Lonchura striata: one gene and its partner. The protein of the gene in region 2 purifies or fractionates together with the protein of the main gene of each other region. This does not show direct contact. Links are inferred from orthologs where the notes say so. Each region holds a gene or a part of one and is shown on either strand. Other genes may lie near its edges. The genes, in order: GPC1 and HADHA.

The links.
Region 1: the proteins of HADHA (region 2) and GPC1 purify together in Homo sapiens (co-immunoprecipitation; 3 studies listed by BioGRID and IntAct, with this or other methods). This does not show direct contact. The link is inferred for Lonchura striata from reciprocal best matches to the Homo sapiens genes HADHA and GPC1.

The regions. Positions count from the first base shown.
Region 1 is NC_134612.1:2,666,920-2,676,461, reverse strand, and holds the start of GPC1 (glypican-1), read right to left. Parts: upstream 4,151-9,542; 5' UTR 4,038-4,150; coding exon 3,881-4,037; intron 1-3,880. UniProt on the Homo sapiens protein: Cell surface proteoglycan that bears heparan sulfate. Binds, via the heparan sulfate side chains, alpha-4 (V) collagen and participates in Schwann cell myelination.
Region 2 is NC_134605.1:113,197,374-113,207,313, reverse strand, and holds the start of HADHA (trifunctional enzyme subunit alpha, mitochondrial), read right to left. Parts: upstream 4,135-9,940; 5' UTR 4,098-4,134; coding exon 4,010-4,097; intron 1-4,009. Other genes in the region: HADHB (trifunctional enzyme subunit beta, mitochondrial), read left to right, coding at 6,362-6,428, 6,787-6,828, 8,243-8,339, 9,446-9,490. UniProt on the Homo sapiens protein: Mitochondrial trifunctional enzyme catalyzes the last three of the four reactions of the mitochondrial beta-oxidation pathway.

The DNA of each region.
Region 1 (9,542 bases), on a different chromosome or scaffold from region 2:
AAGGGCCAAGCACATTCACATCAAATCACAACCCTTAGGTCTTCTCCAGCCCATGAGGGAACTACCTGTGCTCGAGATACTGGGGAGCAGTCACCCACCCAACATCAGTAACCCCAAGACACTGCCACAAGTCAGAGAAAACGGGATACCCCCCTCACAGGGCAGTATTTCGTGGTGGTGAGGGCTCACTCTATCACAAGCCATGCTGTGAGCCTGAGGTAACCAGTCCCTAAGAGGGGCACTAAGAAGCACCCTAGAGCAGGGTATGCCTCCCCTTCACCACCAGAGCAGGGACCCGCAGTGGGATCCTGCAGGAATGTGAGACAGCAGGAACAGCTGCCACCTCCAGAAAACTCGAGAGGAAACGAAAACACTGGAAGCTCTCCAACTTACAATAAGGTTTCCCTTATTTTGTAGCAATCAGAGAAAGGGGGTGTGGGTCATCAAAAAGGAGAGTGGGAACGCTCTCCCAACACGCAGGAAAGCTGCGATCGAGCTAGTAGCACATCCCATGGGAGCAAGTGGTGTAACTTTCCCAAACTCAAGGAGTAGGGGGCTTTACCCCCAGCATTAGAAACTTTCTGGTAGGCAGATCTTCACCCAAGACTCTGGGTGCACAGCTGTCTGTCAGGATTGCTAACACGAGCAGACACTGCTATCGTGTTCGGGAATTTTGCCATTGACTTCAAAGTACTGAGATATAACACCTTGTGTACTCCCTAAACACACTTAATAACAGCACCTGACACATTTAAAGTGCTTAGACATGTTAAAGGCATTGTACAACATTAGCAAAAAACCAGGATACCCTGTCTAGGTGGTTCATGAGAAATCTGGTAAGCCAAGAGTCTATCCCTGCATCAGATGCTTATCTATTAGCCAGCTAATAACTGTGGGACTCTTCTCCAGCTGATCCATGCAGCCACAAGCAGGGACTACCTTCTGGTGAGCTGTGGAGACACTAGATTATTCATAATCCTCTTAAATCATAACTAAGAATACAGATTAGAAGGTGTAAAGCGTGCAGTGAGTGTTCTAAACCCAACACAAACACAGCCAATCTCAGTCTGAGTCAGAGCCTGCGTGCTGGGAGCTCACTGAACTCCTTCTGCAGGGCAGCTCTGGGGGTGCAGTGTGGGGTTTGGCTCCTGGGGCTGGGCTGCTGTGACACCAACACACCCCAAGCAGTGCCTGGAGCCAGGCACAGGCAGACAGGAGCAAGGTCAGCACCACTTTGGGGTCATAGGGCTAAGAAATTAATGTTCCCCTTTGCTTCAGGGCAAGCAGTGGAGGGAAGGAACAGCGAGGTCTCCTTAGAGAGGGACAATGGAAAGGGATTTTGTCTCTAGGCAGCTCAGAAATAAAATAAAAACATGATTCATGGGGCAGCTCTTAAAACATGAAGAAGGCCACCATCAGGAAACTTCAGCATAGTCCAATAGGAGACAACATTGATCTCAGTTCATCAACATCTCTTAACTAATCCAAAAGCTGCCCAACCACAGAATCACCAAAGTTGGAAGCCTGCACTATAATCTCATCCAGTCATCAACCCAGCACCACCATAACAGCCCCTTATCCACATCACTGAGTGATTACACCAGCTCAGCCTAATGCACATCACTGAGTGATTCCACCAGCTCAGCCTAATGCACAGCTACTCTTTCTGTGAACATTTCTTTCTAATATCTCATCTGACTTGCCCTGGCAACCTAAGACCCTTTCCTCTCCCTTCACTTGAGACACAGCAGAAGACACCTGCCCCTCCTCAGCTGTATGCCTGGGGATGCATTCACAGGTGTCAGTGGTGTCACCTGAGAAGGCTCCATTCAAGTGACAGCAAGCTGAACCACTGCCACTGAAACCAGCCTGAAACAACGAGCAAATGTGGAATTATAAACTGCATGGTCCTGTACTTGGTACACATAAGGATACTGCAAGGAGGCTCTTGAGATGCCTCTTCTTGGAGACAAGCAAAACTGGCACCAACCTTTGCATTAACCTGCACAGCTGCTAAAAAGCAAAGAGGATACAGAACACTGCTTTGTCAGGACGTTTCTAAGGTTATATCTACGCTCACTGATGTTTTAACTGCACTGGGCAAGTAACACACTGACACAAAAATGCATTCCTGAATGTGCATCGGTCAGGAGGTAATTACCAATGAAAATCATCTAGTCTGGCAGCTGTCTGAAACACTGGGCTAATGGTAGCAGCAGCGGCTCTATGTGTGGGACCTTCTTCCTCCAAGCACTTCTTCACATTACTTTCCATGCAGTATTCCTCAAGTTTTCATGGCATTTATCTACAGAGTTTCCCTGTCTGCAGTAACAGCCAGAGACTCCGGTTTGATACTCCAATTTTAACCACTGTGGCTTGTGACTGCCAGTGTGTATGCTCGTACCAACGCACAGCAGGAAACAGAACTCCTGCATCCTGGAAATCTGTGTCCTGACACTCCTGGAACCTCAACAATTTGCAGGTACAAGGTGTTTTACTGGCAGCTGACCTGCGATACGTGATCCTTTTAACCGCAGCTGCTGCGAGCCTCGGTGCTGCCCGTAGTACTATCCCTGTGCGCAGTGCTGCAGCCACCTCCAGCGTGTTTGTAAACATTCAGCCTTCCAAGAACTTCCCACTTGAAACACGACAGCTAATGTATTCACATCTGCAATAATGAGATGCAAACTCATAAAAAGCCGCTTTCTTGCTCAGCTGAAGTGCTATGCCATTAATAGTGATGTTCAAACGGTTCTGAAACTCCCCACTGTTTAACTTTGAGGGCTGCTCGTCTTACTTTGGAAATTTACTCTCAGTTGTAACTTGACAAAGAAGGCATTAATTTATTCGCATTTATGAGGGATGTATATGGTTCAGCCTTCTCCTTTCATTGGTCAGACAACAAATTGGTTTCTCTGAAAAATTACCTGATGAAATATTCAGCATAAGGCATTGTGTAGCTTAGATGTGCAGTACAAACTGCAGTTTTACTGGGGTGTCCCTGTGGGTTGGCTCTGGCACGTACGCCTGCATGTTTTATGCTTTGTCTGAAGGAGGAAGCTCCCACAAGTGAGGAGAAGGCTCTCGGATATGGGTCACAAGTTGGTGTATCAAAACTTTGATGAGAATTTTAGAAAACCCTACAATGCCTCAGCATATTTTCCCCAAGCCTTCAAAGAAAAAAACCCAAACCCACACAAACCAGACCTTGAATATTCCTTGCTATTTCAGTTGTTTCTACAAAGAGGAGGAAATCAACCAAGATTTATCTAAAGCCAGAATGAAAGCAAGAGGACACACTCTAGCGTAGGTTACACAGGTTTCCCCTGCACTTCACGTTTGACGCGGTCATTTTACTCCTGCTTCATTTTTATTAAGTAGCCAATATCATTTACACGTTTGCTTCCCATCCAGAAGAAGATTTAAATAGATCAATTCCTCTCTCACAACCTTGTGGCGCTTTCCACCTCTGACACCGAAACCCACTACACTCCGATTATTCCGATTTCCGAATCAAAACCCTGAAACCCGTTTCAGTTGTACTCAGCACAGAAGCAACGAGACAATGAGAAAAAAGAAAGAACCACCGCTGAACACTTGGCGCGACCAGCCCCCCTCGCAGCTCCGTTCGCATCGCCAGCGCCGGGGAGAGCCCCTCTGCGGGCAGGGCAGGGCTGCCGGCGGCGCTGAGAGCGGCAGGGCAGCCCGGCTCCGGGGAAACCTCCCCGCTCCGACTTCTGGCCGCCCACGAGCCGAGACAAACTCCAGCGTGGGGCGGCGAGCGCTCCCCAGCCCGCGGCTCCCAGCCGTGCCCGGGCATCTCCCGGCTGGCAGCGGCCCCGGCCCGGGCACCGCGCCCCCGGCGCCCCGCGGCACTCACCGGAGATCTCGGCCTGGGGCACGCCGCTGAGGCTGAAGCCCTTGGCTCCATACAGCTGCCGGACCTCGGCGCAGCTCCTCGCCTTGCTGCCGCTGTCACCGCGAGCCGGGGCGGAGGCGACACACAGCAGCCAAAATCCCCACGGGAAGACACGCATCCTTCTCCGCTGGCCCCGCCACCTGCCGAGCGAAGGGCAAAGCCAAGGTCCCGCGGCGCGGGGGCGGCCGGGTGCGGCCCCTCCGCGGGCAGCCCCGGCGGGACGGGCGGGCGAGGGCGGCGGGCGAGCCCGGCTGCCCGCGGCGTGCGGGGAAGGCAACGGCGAGTTCGGCCCCGGACGCCGCCGCGGCTCGGCCGAGGGGGGCAGAGATCCAAGTTCGGCCGCGCCGCTTCAGAGCCCTGGAGCGAGAGCGCGCTGAGGGCTTTTGTTCTTAGCGCGGCCGCATCCCCGGGCAGTCCCGCCGCGATGCTGCCGGCTGCGGCGCCGCCGGGCCGGGCGGAGCGCGGCGGGGCGGGGCGCGGGGCGGGCTGCGGGGCTGCTCCCGCGGCGGGGCCGGGCCGGGCTGGGCTGGGCTGTGCCGGCTCCGCTCCACCTGCGCGCCGAGCGGCGGCGGGGCGGCTCCGGGCGGGCAGGGCTTCCCCCGCCGGACGTGGCATCACGCGGCCCGCGCCAATCCCGCGCGGGGCGCAGCCCCCGCCCCGCCCCGCGCCCCCGCCGCGGGCGCTGCGCGGCGCCCGGAGCCGCCGGAGCGCCCCGAGCATCCCCGAGCATCCCCGGCATCCCCGAGCATCCCGGGCATCCCCGGCATCCCCGAGCATCCCCGGGCGGGCAGGGCGCGCACGGCGCTCCGGGGCCGCCCGCCGTCCTTGGGCAAGGACAGCGCGCAGCGAGCCCTTCTTTGTCTGCGGCGGGCCCCGGTGCTTTGCCCGGGGTTCCCCCAGCGGGGCGGGACAACGGCCGCGTAAAGACTTAAATCGTTCCACACTTAGAGCGGCGAGGAGAACGCAGTTCAGCTGAGAGCCGGAGAGTCCCAGCAAGGTCCTGGGAAGGCTGAAAGTGCCCCTTTAAGAGCAGATGTGGGAAGAGAGGCAAATGTCTACGACAAATTCTCAGCTTTGGAGTTTACTTCATCCAACAGCCTGCCAGCTCCCGAAGCTGGTGCTCTGCAGCTCTGCCAGCCGCGTTTTGAGCTGCTTCCCACAGAACTGAGACGTATGCGATCACCTGTGCGTCAAGGCAATGCCCGTGTGCTGCTCCAAATGAGCTTGCAGGCTTTTGGCCGGCGTCTGACTCTGTTCGCGACAGCCAGAAGACCCAGCGGTCGCTCCTGAGCCTTTGGAGAGCAGTTGTTCTCTGTGAAAAGGGGGAGGGAGTCTGCCCGTGCCTCAGCTGGAGCACTTGTGGGCTTAAACCTTACAAGATTGCAGAAATTGCACACAAACTCCATCACTGTGCCCCCCCAAAACGCAGCAACATTTAAGAGAGATCGTAGCTTTTGGACTAGGCAGTCACCCAGATGTGAGAAACTTCATGGGAAACTGGTGATGTTCATCCCATTGCTTCAGAACTGCTTATTATCCTGAGGAATGGGAGAAGTGACTGCAAAACAGGAGCCATGGGGAGTAGCAGGATGGCAGTAGGGGAAAGTTGCTGCTTTCCTATAAAATCACCGAATTATTTCCTCTTAAAACTTCCTAGATTCATCTATGAAAGCAGATGGAGAGGACAGGGAAAACCCCTGCAAAGACAGGGAGAATTTTGTAATGAAGATCATAACTGAGATGACACATCATTACCACCAAAAGTTAATAGCTTTGAGTCAGATACACCCATACAGTCCAAATCTTAATTCTCTTGCAGATGACATTGTGCCTTTTGGCCTCTTGTATCATCTCTTAGTTTAGAAACCCGAGGCTTACAGAGTCCCAAAATATGCCTCAGCTGGGAGCTTGCTGTGTGGGGAAAAATCTGCCATGGATGAAGCCTGACTTACCCTGTTTTTAAATGAAAACTCTTTTGTAAATGCAAAAGTACTGCACACTTAAGAGGTTACCAAGTAGGTTATGTGTCATGAGGTTATTTCAGCCCATACTCCTGGGGATTTATTTTCATTTTATAGCCATAGCCCTTTCCTCTCCCCAGGCTTTGAACATATCACTTGAAGATCCATGTCAGAAGTCTCATCTAACTAATCCGAGTACAACAACGGCAGAAAACAAGCAGCAGAGGAATCTGTACCTACACTGCCATGACTGGAGGAACACCTCCTCCTCTTGGAAAACCTGAGTGAAAATCAAATACTTGCAGACACACGGGTAACAACAGTGTCACTTGAGTCTGCTGAGGCGAACGAACTCCAGGAATGTGAACTCCAAAGACACAAAGTACTTGATAGAGAAGAAAGGCAGAGTCATAAACCTTTTATCTGGTCTGGCTGCACAGAATGACTTGGGGTGGGTGATACAGGAGACCAAAATAGCACCGAATTTCCTCTTTTCCTTCTCAAATCCTGGGATCGGCTACGTGTTGCCATTGAATACGTGTGGCATATACTTTCAGCTCTGCCTGTAGTGACTTTGGGTAAGCTCTCTGAGCTGTGGCTGCACCCCAAGGTTGCAGCACAAAGCTCTGTGGACTCACACAGCAGCTGGCAATGGAAGAGCTGGGACTGCAGCCCTTGGGCTCTGGCCTTGGAGCCATCCCCTGAGCTACAGATTTTTCACAGGCCCGAGTATTTCCCTTCTTGCCATACATCTCACTTCCCTGGCTGGGTGGCAGTGCCTGCAGCAGGGACTGGGGTCACGTCACTGCTGATAAAATCCTGGGAGTGCAGCACGCTCGCTGCTGTTCCCAGCTGAGACACCAGGCTGCCAGCCCAGCACAGCTCACACTGCCAGCTCCAGCTCTTCTCAGAACTACAGCTCAGCTACAAGCTCTGCTGTGAACCTCAGGCATTAAATGACCACCAGCAGGTCATTTAACTCCAAACAGGGCTAAGAGTGTTTTTTACCCAACCACCTGCCTTTGGGATGCTGACATACTATCATAATGAGAAGCTTATAAGTAGACAAATTTAAAATGAGCACAAGCTGATATGAGCTCTTCAACAGAAATCTGCAAGTCTGTGCAGGATCAAATCCTGCTCAAAGAAATCTTAAGTGGTGAGGCACGTCTCTTTTTGCTGTGAAGTTTGTATACACATGCAGGATTTGACCTAGGCACATTTTAAGTAAATTGAAATAAACATCCTCAAAGTGTCATGATGAAAATGTATTTTTGGCATCCATTATAAATTGGATTGTCTATATCTGAGGACCAGATCCAGTTTCTGAACATCCTCAGCTAAAAGAATGGAACTTGGCAAAAAGTAAACAAAAGATTGTCCAAAAACAGTCAGAAAGACCTAGAACTGGGAAAGATACGAAAAGGCAGAGTAAAACACAAAGATGAGTAGACAAAATGCAGAGGAGGCAAAAAGCACACAGCCAGCCAGCAAGATAGCCAAAGGAAGACAGAAAATCCATCCTGCTCTGGAGATCACCTCCTGACAGTCCCGACAAAAAGCACTGCCCACTGAAAAGCTGATCCAAGCATTATGGAGCAAGAAGGATGAAGAAGAGCCAAATCGTCTGGCACAAGTGGGGAAAGCTACCCTTTAAAACAAGAAGTGAACAGAGAGGCTTTCTACAACCTCAGTTTTCACAGAGACATCTTTGTTTCTCTAGCACTTTCCAAAATTTTTGCAATGCAGTGGACTTGCCTCTCTTTTTCACCTTGATGCAAGTCAAGAATTGTACAGGCAGCAATGCAATTACACCCACCAGACTTCCAGCTGGTTCCAAAATGGACCTCTGCTGAGTTACAGCAACCTGGAGTCTGACAGCAAAACCTAAACAGGAAAAAACCCAGAATTCAAAATTGCCCTGTATCTTTGGTGCCACATAAAAGAATAGTGCATTCTCTCTTGAATTCAGTGGTGTTTCTACTTTTTTCCCTATGCATCAAGTGCAAAGTTCACACAGCGTGGGGAGTGGGGAAGGAAAAGAGATGGGCAAAGCCTGACTGGGCTACAGGTTCCTCTCTCGTCCCAGCTTCACATAATGAAACCCTTTGCCCCTTTCCCTTACCAGTTTATGATACTTTTGATTCTCTGGCAGCATCAGCAAATCTGGCACCTTTAAATTAAAAATCTTCATCAAAGCAGGAATATCTCAGTACCTCTTCTGCCCAATTCCTTTAATCTCTGCAAGAGCAGTTTCCTGCAGAATTCATAAAAGCCCCTGCCTCCCCAACACTGAGTGGTGTTCAGCAGAAGCTGGACATGTGTTTTGCTGAATCAAATCTAATTAAGTTATTCAGAGGATTTACTAGATTACACCTTGCTATCTGCAGCTACTTACTTCTTCCCTGGCTCTCCCTTCACTGGAAATCCGGCATCTTCTCCTCCCCTCTGCTCACGTTCCCCCAGGAAGCTTCCCTGACATGCACAAACAGCACGTGTCAGGTTGTTTTGATCACCAAAAATATCAGATCAATCCCTTCAAACTGCTGGGGCATCTATGTACAACTGGCAAATCCAGCTTGATCTCAGTTGACTTTGTAAGACACCATTTGCCTTCCCAAAATACGAAGACCTTTTGGGATTTGTGTGCTCGGATTAATTCATCAGGGATAGCGTTCAGTAGATGTACAGAGCCTCAAGACCTTCCCAGGTCCTGAGGGAGCCAGACTGAGGCCCCAGGGCAGTGACAATCACAATTCTGGATGCTGAGGAGCAGAGGAAGAGGGGTTGCACAGAGGACAAGTGCAGCAGTGTATGCCAAGGCTGTGCCAAGCTGCTCTTTGACCTTTGGTGGAACAGACCAATTCCCTTCAAATGGAATTTTCATTTCCCCAGTGTGGCTCGTACTAGGAATATTAGGAACAACTGAGTAATTTCAGACAGAGAATCAGGCTAATGCAGGTAATTGCAACTCTGTGCTGTGTTTTGAAGTGAACCACACAATTTTACAGCAGCAACTTAAAGCAATGTATTGCTTAATGACCTCTTACCAATGACTCCACCCTGCCAGACTGTACTTGTGTTATATAAGAGTCAGAGATTTCCCAGTAGAAAGAAGTCTTAAAGGCCAAAAATGAAATAAATGCCATAAACTCGTTAGAGAAACTCCTGTTAATTGGGTCTGCCCCAGGAAGTACATTTATCCTTTCTGGGAACTTTCAGTAAAGCTTTTCCCACTCTCGAAAACATATGCAGCAATGAATAAAGAGTATCGACATGCACTTGAATCTGATTTATGTGTTATAAGCACAGCTTTAATAGTATGAAATGCCTCAAAATGGTCCCCAAAACTAGATGAAAAATCTGTCCTTTCAGCATGCCCCTATGGTGATGTGTAGAAGATTCCTTCCCACTTCCTGCAAAAGTTGCAAGTAGATGATTTCCTCTTATAATTCAAGAGGTTATGTCCTGAAGTTAACTGGTTTGAAAGAGATTTTTCAGGTGAAAACCGTCCCTCATTGTCATTGTCATCTGTCTGTGGCACTGAGCAGGAGCACACTCTGTTCCTGGGAATGCCAGCTCTACAGCCTGTTCCTGAGCACTGGTCCAAGGCAAATGGGTGAGGGATAAGCATCCCAGACTTCTTTGAGAAGAAAAACTCA
Region 2 (9,940 bases):
TCTTTACATGGCTTTCCTTTCCCACACCAGTTCTCAGATTCCTTCCATGAAAACCTTCAGCCTTCAATTCCTCTCTCCCTTTCCATTCTCACAAAACAGAAGAGATGAAGTAGGAAAAAAAAAAATCAAGGGCATGGCTGCACAAATATCACTCCACTTGAATATAAATTCTTTTGGGAGAGGCGCTGTCAGAAGTGCACCAGCTGGTTAACACTGGAGTGAGCTTTCTGTAGCCTGACAGTGGTTTATTTTAAGTCTAGAATATTTGTGGAAAACATCTTTTGCTAGGAAGCACAAGTCCTTGTCCTGGTCCTTGCACATCTGCTTTAGGTGTTGATCCCTTCAGCATTGCCATGGGAACGTGCCAAGACTGAAGCCAGAAAAATCCTCCAAAATGCTGCAGGAAGCAGAAGCCCATATTCCGACTTCCACTGTGTCCCATCACTGATTCCAGAGTTAATGCCCTGAAAATCAGTTCCAGGCTCACTCCAGCTCAAACACTGTCCAGCACCAGGACACCAACACTCCAGGTGCCCTCAGGACTTTGGATGCACCAGGGAATGGACAACACCCACCCCACAGCCCAGCCTGCTCCTTCCCACTTTCTCTTCTCCCTGTTCCTACCTCAGCTCCCACCCTTCCACTCACCGGCACGTGGCACACGCCTTGAACTGGGAACTGCCTCCATGGCTCAGGGAAAAGCCTTTTTCCAGTCCTGGAGCAGCCCAAGCCCCAGCAGCACGGAGCTCAGGCTGCCTGAGCTGTCCCTGCCAGCTGAGCACGGAGCTGTGACCCGTGAGAAGGGAAACTCCCGGCACACTGAGCTTCCCAAGCCACCCTGGGAACCTGGTGGCACACGGATGTGGCCCAGCAGGTACAGCCAGCCCTGGAGCTCACCTGGCTCCTGACTGCTCCCTGCCTTTGGGCTGCCCCTGAGAGCTTTGCATGCACTTCCCAAGCTTTGCAAGGCAGAACGAGGGTATTCATTCATTAGCAACGGTGGTAGTGTCCTCACAGCAGCTCCAGGGCTGTTTGTTGTGGAGAGCTTCACCAGTTGGAACAAGAATTCCAACCAGCAGCAGCCTGAGAACTCTCTGGAGTTGCCACAAGTCTCCTCCTCAGTGATTGCAGCTCCCTGTCACGTACAAACCTGCTCCAAGGCTGCACGTAACACAGCTGTGATCCCAGAACCAGGAATTGCTCACCAGGATCCCTGAACCGTGGGATTGCTCACCATGATCCTGGAAACATGGGATTGCTCATCATGATCCCAGAACTGTGGGATTGTTCACCATAATCCCAGAACCAGGAATTGCTCACCATGATCCCTGAACCGTGGGATTGCTCACCATGATCCCAGAAACATGGGATTGTTCATCATGATCCCAGAACTGTGGGATTGCTCACCATGATTCCAGAAACGTGGGATTGTTCATCATGATCCCAGAACCATGGGATTGTTCACCATGATCCCAGAACCAGGAATTGCTCATCATGATCCCAGAGCCATGGAATTGCTCACCATGATCCCAGAACCAGGAATTGCTCACCACGATCCCAGAACCAGGAATTGTTCACCATGATCCCAGAACCAGGAATTGTTCATTATGATCCCAGAAACATGGGATTGTTCACCACGATCCCAGAACCATGGGATTGTTCACCATGATCCCAGAACCAGGAATTGCTCACCATGATCCCAGAACCAGGAATTGCTCACCATGATCCCAGAACCAGGAATTGCTCACCATGATCTGCTGTGCCACATGCCGCGCCACAACAATGATTCCAGAACCAGGAATTGCTCACCATAATCCCTGAACCAGGAATTGCTCACCATGATCCCAGAACCAGGAATTGTTCATTATGATCCCAGAAACATGGAATTGTCCACCATGATCCCAGAACCATGGAATTGCTCACCCTGATCCCAGAACCATGGGATTGTTCACCATGATCCCAGAAACAGGAATTGCTCACCATGATCCCAGAACCAGGAATTGTTCATCATGATCCCAGAACCATGGAATTGTTCACCAGGATCCCAGAATCATGGGATTGTTCACCATGATCCCAGAACCAGGAATTGCTCACCATGATCCCAGAACCAGGATTGCTCACCATGATCCCAGAACCAGGAATTGCTCACCCTGATCCCAGAACCAGGAATTGTTCACCATGATCCCAGAACCAGGAATTGCTCACCATGATCCCAGAACCATGGGATTGCTCACCATGATCCCAGAACCAGGCATTGCTCACCATAATCCCTGAACCAGGAATTGCTCACCATGATCCCAGAACCATGGACTTGTTGGATAAGAGCTCTCAGAGCACCGAGTCCAGCTCTGAACCCCGCACTGCTGAGCTCAGGTTTGGGTTTAAACGAAATAGAGCTGGAGTTTGGGTCAACATCAACACCAGACTCTGAGGCCCTTCAAAGTGCTCAAATGTGAGGTTTCCAGAGCTTCCCAGCCAGGCCCTCTGGCCTTCCCAGGGCTCCTGGGGACTCCCTGCCTCGGTGGCCAGGAGGCACCAAGCCAGATCCGTGCAGAGGCAGGAGAGAGCCACAGCCCTGCCCAAGCTGGCAAGGGAGATGCCCCCACAAAATCATGGAATCACTGAATCCCAGGATGGTTTAGATGGGAAGGAATGTTAAAGCTCATCCAGTGCCACCCCTGCCATGGCTGGGACCCCTTCCACTATTCCAGGTGGCTCCAAACCCCAGTGTCCAACCTGGCCTTGGGCACTGCCAGGGATTATCCAGGGGCAGCCCCAGCTGCTCTGGGAATTCCATCCCGGCCCCTCCCTACCCTCACAGGGAACAATTCCTAATTCCCAATCTCCCATCCAGCCCTGCCCTCTGGACACAGCCATTCCCTGGGTCCTGTCCCTCCATTCCTTGTCCCAAATCCCTCTGCAGCTCTCCTGGAGCCCTCCAGGCTCTGAGCTCTCCCCAGAGGATGATTCTTTTCCCAAGGCTGAACATCCCCAATTCTCTCAGCTGAGAAATCATGGAGCACCTGGAGACAGCCTCCCCCCAGGCAAGTGGGACTACGGGGTCACAGGGATGACAGGGATCCCATGGATACACCTGCCTGCCTGGAGGGCAGCCACAGCACCCAGGCTGCCAAGGACATGGGGACACCCTCTCCTTTCCAAGCAGCCACTCGGGGCACTGGGGACAGGCACACGTGTCAGGGCACAAGGACACTCTCTCCCCGTGGCTCAGCTCATGTGCAGGGATCTGACTGGAGGGTGTGTCCCCCCATCAGTGCCAGCTCACTGGGACCCCCCAAGAACTGCTCAGAGATTCCCACAGCGTGTCCCTGTGCAAGGACTGGCACAGCAGGATGTCCCCATGGGGGCACACAACCCCCAGAGACCACAGGACACGGAGGGGACAAACCTCGGGGTGGGGGATGTTTGGGACCTGCCAGGGATCCCCTTGGGTGACTCTGGGGACAAACCCCTCACACGGGGCACAGACACACATGGGGACACCTCCCACCCCACAGCTGCCCCGGGGATCCCCTGTCCCAGTCCCGGCCCTCACAGCCTTCCTGCGAACTCCTCACAGCCATCACCTCAAGAACCCTTTGTGACCCCCAGACACCCCCAACTCCTGCCCCAGCACCATGAAATCCTCTCTGGGACCCCTTGTTCCTCATCCCCTCAATGTCACCCCGGCCCTCGCCCACTTAGCGCGGCTCTCAGTGCCCCCCTGCCCCTCGCCCCCTCAGCGCCACCCCTGCAGCGCCTCCTCACCGTCCCCCCAAAACTTTCTCCTCAGTGAGCCCCATCCCACGCCAATCCTCGCTCCTTTAGCGTCCCCCGAGCCTTCACTGCCCCTTCACTGCCCCCCTGCCCGCCAGCGCTCCCCTTCCCTCAATACCCCCTCAGGCACCTCCCGTCCCTCACCCCCCACTGCCCCCATCCCCCGGTGCTCCCCTCAGGCGGGGGCCCCCGCAGTGCGGCCGCTCCCGCTCCCCGCCGTGCCCTGGCTCACCGCGGGGCGGGGTGTGCCGCGTCGGGCCGGCCCTGGCGGCGGCCGGGAGGCGGCCGAGGCTGCCGATGGCTCGCACCGCCGCCGCCATCTTCGCCGAGGTCGAATGAGGGAGGAGAGGCCGCCGGTGGGGGGGGGGGCCTGACGGCGCACGCCCCGCCCGCCGCGCCCCGCCCGCGCTGCCCGCCGCGCTGCCCGCGCGCTTCGCCGCCGCCGCCGCCCCGCCGCCGCCTCCCGCTCCGCTCTCCGCCGAGCCTCGGGTGGGTGCGACCCGCGCCGGGCCGCAGCGGATTGCGGGAGAGGCCGGGGACGGGCTGCGGGGCGGCGGTAGAGGGAGAGGTGCGGGTCAGGCGGACGCGGGCAGCCCGAGGGTGGCGGGGCGCGGGGTCCTCGCTGGGTGGAGGAGCGGCGGCGGCGGCAGAGCGCGGTGAGGGCGGAGGTGAGCGGACGGAAAGGGACGGGAGCGCACGGGGCGGTCAGGGGCTCCGTCCTGCGTGGACGGCAGCGCGGGGAGGGTGGGAGCAGTCGGGAGGCGGTCCTGAGGAGGAGGGTGGGGGTCAGGCGCGGTGCGGGCTGGAGCAGAGGGTCGGGGGTCTGTCCTCAGCGGGCGGGGAGGGATGAAGGGAGGCCGGGGGTGGGGGCAGATGGAGGGGGGACGTGAGGGGAGTCGGGGGGTTCGTTCTCGATGGAAGTGAGGGGAGGCGGGGGGTTCGTTCTGGGTGGACGTGAGGGGACTCGGGGTTTCCTTTTGGATGGACGAGGAGCAGTGAGGCGAGTCTGGATCATTCTGAATGGACGGGGAGCAGTGAGGGGAGTTGAGGGGTTCGTTCTGGATGTGAGAGGAGTCTGGGTGTTCATTCCAGTTGGAAGTGAGGGAAGTTGGGGGGTTCGTTCTGATGGATGGGGAGACGTGACAGGAGTTGGAGGTTCTTTCTGGATGGAAGTTTGGGGAGTCGGGCAGTTCGTTCCGAATGGGAGTGAGGGGAGTTTTGGTGGGTTCATTCCTGATGGATGGGGTAGGGGGGCTGGGAAAGGGTGAGGAGGTCCCAGGGGGTCAGTGCTGGATGGATGAAAGGACTGAGGGGCTGGTCCTGGGCGGACAGCAGGGGTCGTGAGTTGGCCCTGGGTGGATGAGGGGGTTTGGGGGTGGCTGAGAGCAGCACGGGTGTGTTTGGGGTGGGAGTCCCGGGGTGGAGGTGGCGGTGCTGCGGTGTGAAAGTGTCAGGGGTGTGTGGGGACAGGAAGGGAGCAGGGGCTGTTCATGGAATTGTGGATTATCCTGAGTTGGAAGGGATCCGTGAGGGTCACAGAGCTGTGGAATCCAGGCAAATCCTGGCTCTGCAAGGAGCTTTGTCTTGACGATTTGTGTGGGCAGGGCTGAGCCCTTGGGGTGCCAGGGGAGCACTGGCTCCCAAAAATGAGGGAGTTTGGGGTGTTTTGAAGGGGCAGGAACGGGGGTGCACCGGGAGGAGATGGCTGTGCAGTGTGGGAGGGAGGAGGAGGTTACACCTGGGAGAAACTTCTGTCAGCTGGGCAGGGAAAATTTAGGGGAAAACTTCAGTCAGGTGTGGGGAGGGAGGTTGGCAGAGGTGGAGGAGGAGCAGGATGCTTTGGAAAGGTCTGGTTTTGGGATTTTTGTTGGCAGGAGGAGCCTGGGGCTGGGAAGGGTCACATTCCAGGTGTGGAGCTGCAGCTGGGAGGTGTCAAAGGGGGTGACTGGCAGCTTGTGCTGAGTTATGGGGAACTGCAGAGGGCTGGGTTTGGGACTGTGGGTGTTCCTGTGCCCCTCCATGGCAAAACTCTGTGCTTGGGAGAGAAAGTGCCAGGATTTGAACCCACAAAGTGTGACAGAGGGAGATGAATGTTGACATGGATCAAGCAAAGTCCTGGAGCTGTGAGGGCCATCTCGGCAATAAACTGCAGATGAGGGTTTGTTTATAGGGAAACCCGATTTGGGAGAGCTTCAGAGGGGTTTTTGGGGGCGAACTTGCTGTGTTTGCTGTGGGGATGCACAGCAGGATCCTCAGGCTGGCACCAGGGGCCAACGAGGGGCAGGGGTGCCAAGGACACTGCTGGTGTCAGGAGGTGCTGCTGGCAGCAGGGCTGCCTGGGCACTGGGACAATTTTCCAGTGGGAAGTGGAGGAGCAGTTCCTGGGAGGGAATTGAGAAGCTCACAGGGCGGTGTTTATTCACAGGCACAAGCGTGGTGGGAGGTGATTCCCTGTGCTGCTGCTGCCCTTGCAGTGTGTGCCCCTCACCTTGCTGGCTCTGTGTGAGGCAGGCAGGACGCTTCCCTTGGGATTGTTCTGGACACAGCAGCTTGGACTGAGCCCAGCCTTTCCCTAGATCCCAAAATGAGTTCCATGCTGAGCTCTGCCCTGCGGAACCTCCCCGTGTCCTCAGCCTGGGCTGCTGGGGCCTGTGAGTATCTTTAGATTTTATTGGTGGCCGTAAACCTCTGGTTGAAGTGTTGGGTTTGGAATGGATGCTGGGGTCTGAATCTATACCCGTTCTCACCTTTAAAAGACTGACATTTTTTACTTTTTAATCCTAATTACATTGTTGCCTTGTTTGTCCCTTCCTGCATCATATGGGGAGGAGTCTTGAGTTAACAGTTAACAGAAAGTGTACCAGGTTTCTGCACAGAGTAAACCACCCAACACCCCACAGGTGCTCAGGTGTCTTAGAGTGACACTATCTGCTTTCCTAACCCTTCTTGCAGAGACTAGAACTGTTTCTGACATTTTTCTGGTATTTTTTCCCCTTTCTTGTTTTCCAGTTACTCGATCACTCAGCTGCTCCTCGCCGTTCCAAGCTGCAGGTAAGGAGGAAACACCAGAATCTCAGTGGGTCTGTGCTAGACAGGGGTGTTTTGGAAGCTGCCTCCACTTCCCACAGTCTTGTTCCACTTAAATCTTAGAAATGGTGCAGAATGCAGGGTGGTTCGGGTGTTCCTGAAAAGCTGCAAGCAAGGAAAACTTCAGGCAAAGCAGTATTTGCAGCAGAGTCCTCTCATTTGCTGAGTGCCCTGGCGCCCAGTGCCATTCCCAGTTTGCTCCCAGTGGCCATTCCCAGTCTGCCCCCAGCTCCCAGTGCCATTCCCAGTCTGCCCCCAGCTCCCAGTGCCATTCCTAGTCTGCTCCCATGCCCATTCCTAGTCTGCCCCCAGCTCCCAGTGCCATTCCCAGTCTGCTCCCAGTGCCATTCCTAGTCTGCTCCCAGTGCCCATTCCCAGTCTGCCCCCAGCTCCCAGTGCCATTCCTAGTCTGCTTCCATGCCCATTCCTAGTCTGCCCCCAGCTCCCAGTGCCATTCCTAGTCTGCTCCCATGCCCATTCCTAGTCTGCCCCCAGCTCCCAGTGCCATTCCTAGTCTGCTCCCAGTGCCATTCCTAGTCTGCTCCCATGCCCATTCCCAGTCTGCCCCCAGCTCCCAGTGCCATTCCCAGTGTGCTCCCAGGGCCATTCCCAGTCTGCCCCCAGCTCCCAGGGCCATTCCCAGTCTGCCCCCAGCTCCCAGGGCCATTCCCAGTCTGCCCCCAGCTCCCAGTGCTATTCCCAGGCTGCTCCCAGTGCCCATTCTCAGTCTGCCCCTGGCTCCCAGTGCCCGTTCCCAGTTTGCCCCAGCTCCCAGCACCATTCCCAGTTTTTAGTCTCAGCCCACAGTGAGTGGCTGGGGTGATCCACGCTCTGGGTTCACTGTGGGGGTTGCTCAGGTGATTCATGCTTTGGGATTTTGGGAACAGGCCTGGACAGCAGCTCCCCATCATCGCCAGGCTTTGGGAAGAGCCTGAAGGAATCTCCAGACAGTGCTGGAGTTTTGTCCTGGCACTGGCCTGTGGAATGATGCCAGGTCATGACATCCCTTGTTTTGAACCTCTCCCACTGGGGAGAGAATTTCTTCCCATTAGGAAGAAATTTCTTCCCATTAGGAAGAAATTCTTGGCTGTGAGGATGATGAGGCACAGGCCCCATCCCTGGAAGTGTTCCAGGCTCAGTTGGATGGAGCTTGGAGCAACCTGGGATAGCAGGAGGTGTCCCTGTCCATGGCAGGGGTGCAATGGATGAGCTTTGAGGTCCCTTCCTACCCAAACCATTCCATGATTCCAGGATTCCTACCTTCCCTGCCTTTCACTTACACACCAAAAAAGGACAATTTCCTTTGTTTTCTAGAAGCTTTGCAGGATCTATATGAAAATTGCTGATATTCTTGTCACCATCACTTCTCTCTTCCCAGTTCAGCCAAAGACTAAGAAGACCTTGGGCAAAACTGGGGTGAAGAATGTGGTGGTGGTGGAGGGTGTCCGCATTCCCTTTCTGCAGTCTGGCACCACGTGAGTATCAGAGACCAGTGAAACCCAGCAAGCACGCCCTGGTTTGGTTAAAACTCAACTCTTTCTGTGAAAAACCTCACTTGTTCCTTTGAATGTAGTTATTCTTGGGCCTAGAGGCTCAGGAGGGGCCCTGAGTTGGGCTGCTGCAGTTATTCCAGTGTATTTAGTGCAGGAATGTGGTTTGAAGAAGGTTGTCAGTGTGTGTATGAATCCCAGGAAGGGTAAGGATTTATGGAGCATGTCTAGAGGAAGCAGTTGGAGAATTTATAGCAGAGGAAGCAACAAGTTTGACAGAACTGGCAGGACAGGGGCCAAGAATCTGCTGTAGGCTCTTCTTCCTGGATTGCTGTGCCACCAAATCCACAGCTGAACTAAAGCCACACCTGACTGTTATGGAGACAGGATGGAGAAAGGATTTTCTTATGTGCTCCCTGCTGCTTTTCTGTGGGTTTATAGCAGTGATTACAGCCCCTCTGCTCTAGAGGCAGGCTGGGAGAGCTGGGGGGGCTCACCTGGAGAGGAGAAGGATCCAGGGAGAGCTGGGGGGGCTCACCTGGAGAGGAGAAGGATCCAGGGAGAGCTGGGGGGGCTCACCTGGAGAGGAGAAGGATCCAGGGAGAGCTCAGAGCCCCTGGCAGGGCCTGGAGGGGCTCCAGGAGAGCTGCAGAGGGACTGGGGACAAGGATGGAGGGACAGGAGCCAGGGAATGGCTTCAAAGTGGAAAAGGGATTTGGGTGGGATATTGGGAAGGAATTTTTGGCTGTGAGGAGGTGAGGCCCTGGCACAGGATGCCCAGAGCACTGTGGCTGCCCCTGGATCCCTGGCAGTGCCCAAGGCCAGGTTGGACATTGGGGTTTGGAGCCACCTGGAATAGTGGAAGGTGTCCCTGCCGTGGCAGGGCTGGCACTGAATGAGATTTAGTGTCTCTTCCAACCCAAACCAATCTGTGACTCCTTGAAATGTTTGCTCAGAGGCTCAGCGGAGCATTTCTGCTCCATCCCCAGTTCTTGCTGCTCACAGGAGAATCCTGTCCTGATTTCTGTGCTGAGAATTCTGCACTGATTTCTCACACCTCTGAGTTTCTTCCTCTGCTCTTCACCTTCCAGGTATGCTGATCTGATGCCACATGACTTAGCCAGAGCAGCACTGCAGTAAGTAAATGGATCACTGGGAGGGCTCTGAGTTCTTGTCAAACTGCTGAGGTTTCAGGCTTGCAGAGCCAAGGCTCTGGGCTTGGCTCTGAACAGCTCAGGTGCTTCATTTTTCCTGGCCTCCCTCCACAGCAGTGGGTGGCTTAAGCAGTGGGGTTTATATTTTTGTTGGGATTCTCAGTAGCTTGGTGTTGATGCAAAGAGATGCTGGTGGTGACAAATTTTAGTGAATTTCTGTAGTTTTTCAAAGACAACAGACCTGCTGTTGAAGTGGGAAAAACAACCTGGGCAACACAGGAAATGAAGTGACTACAAGGATGTTGAGCTAATTCTGTGACCCTCCTGTTCTGAGGGTCATTAGCAGTGGGTTTGTTTTATTGAGAAGCAGAGCAGAGTGCTCTGGAGAGGAGAGAAGGCTTGGAGAAGCCTGGAGATGGCTGCCCCTGGATC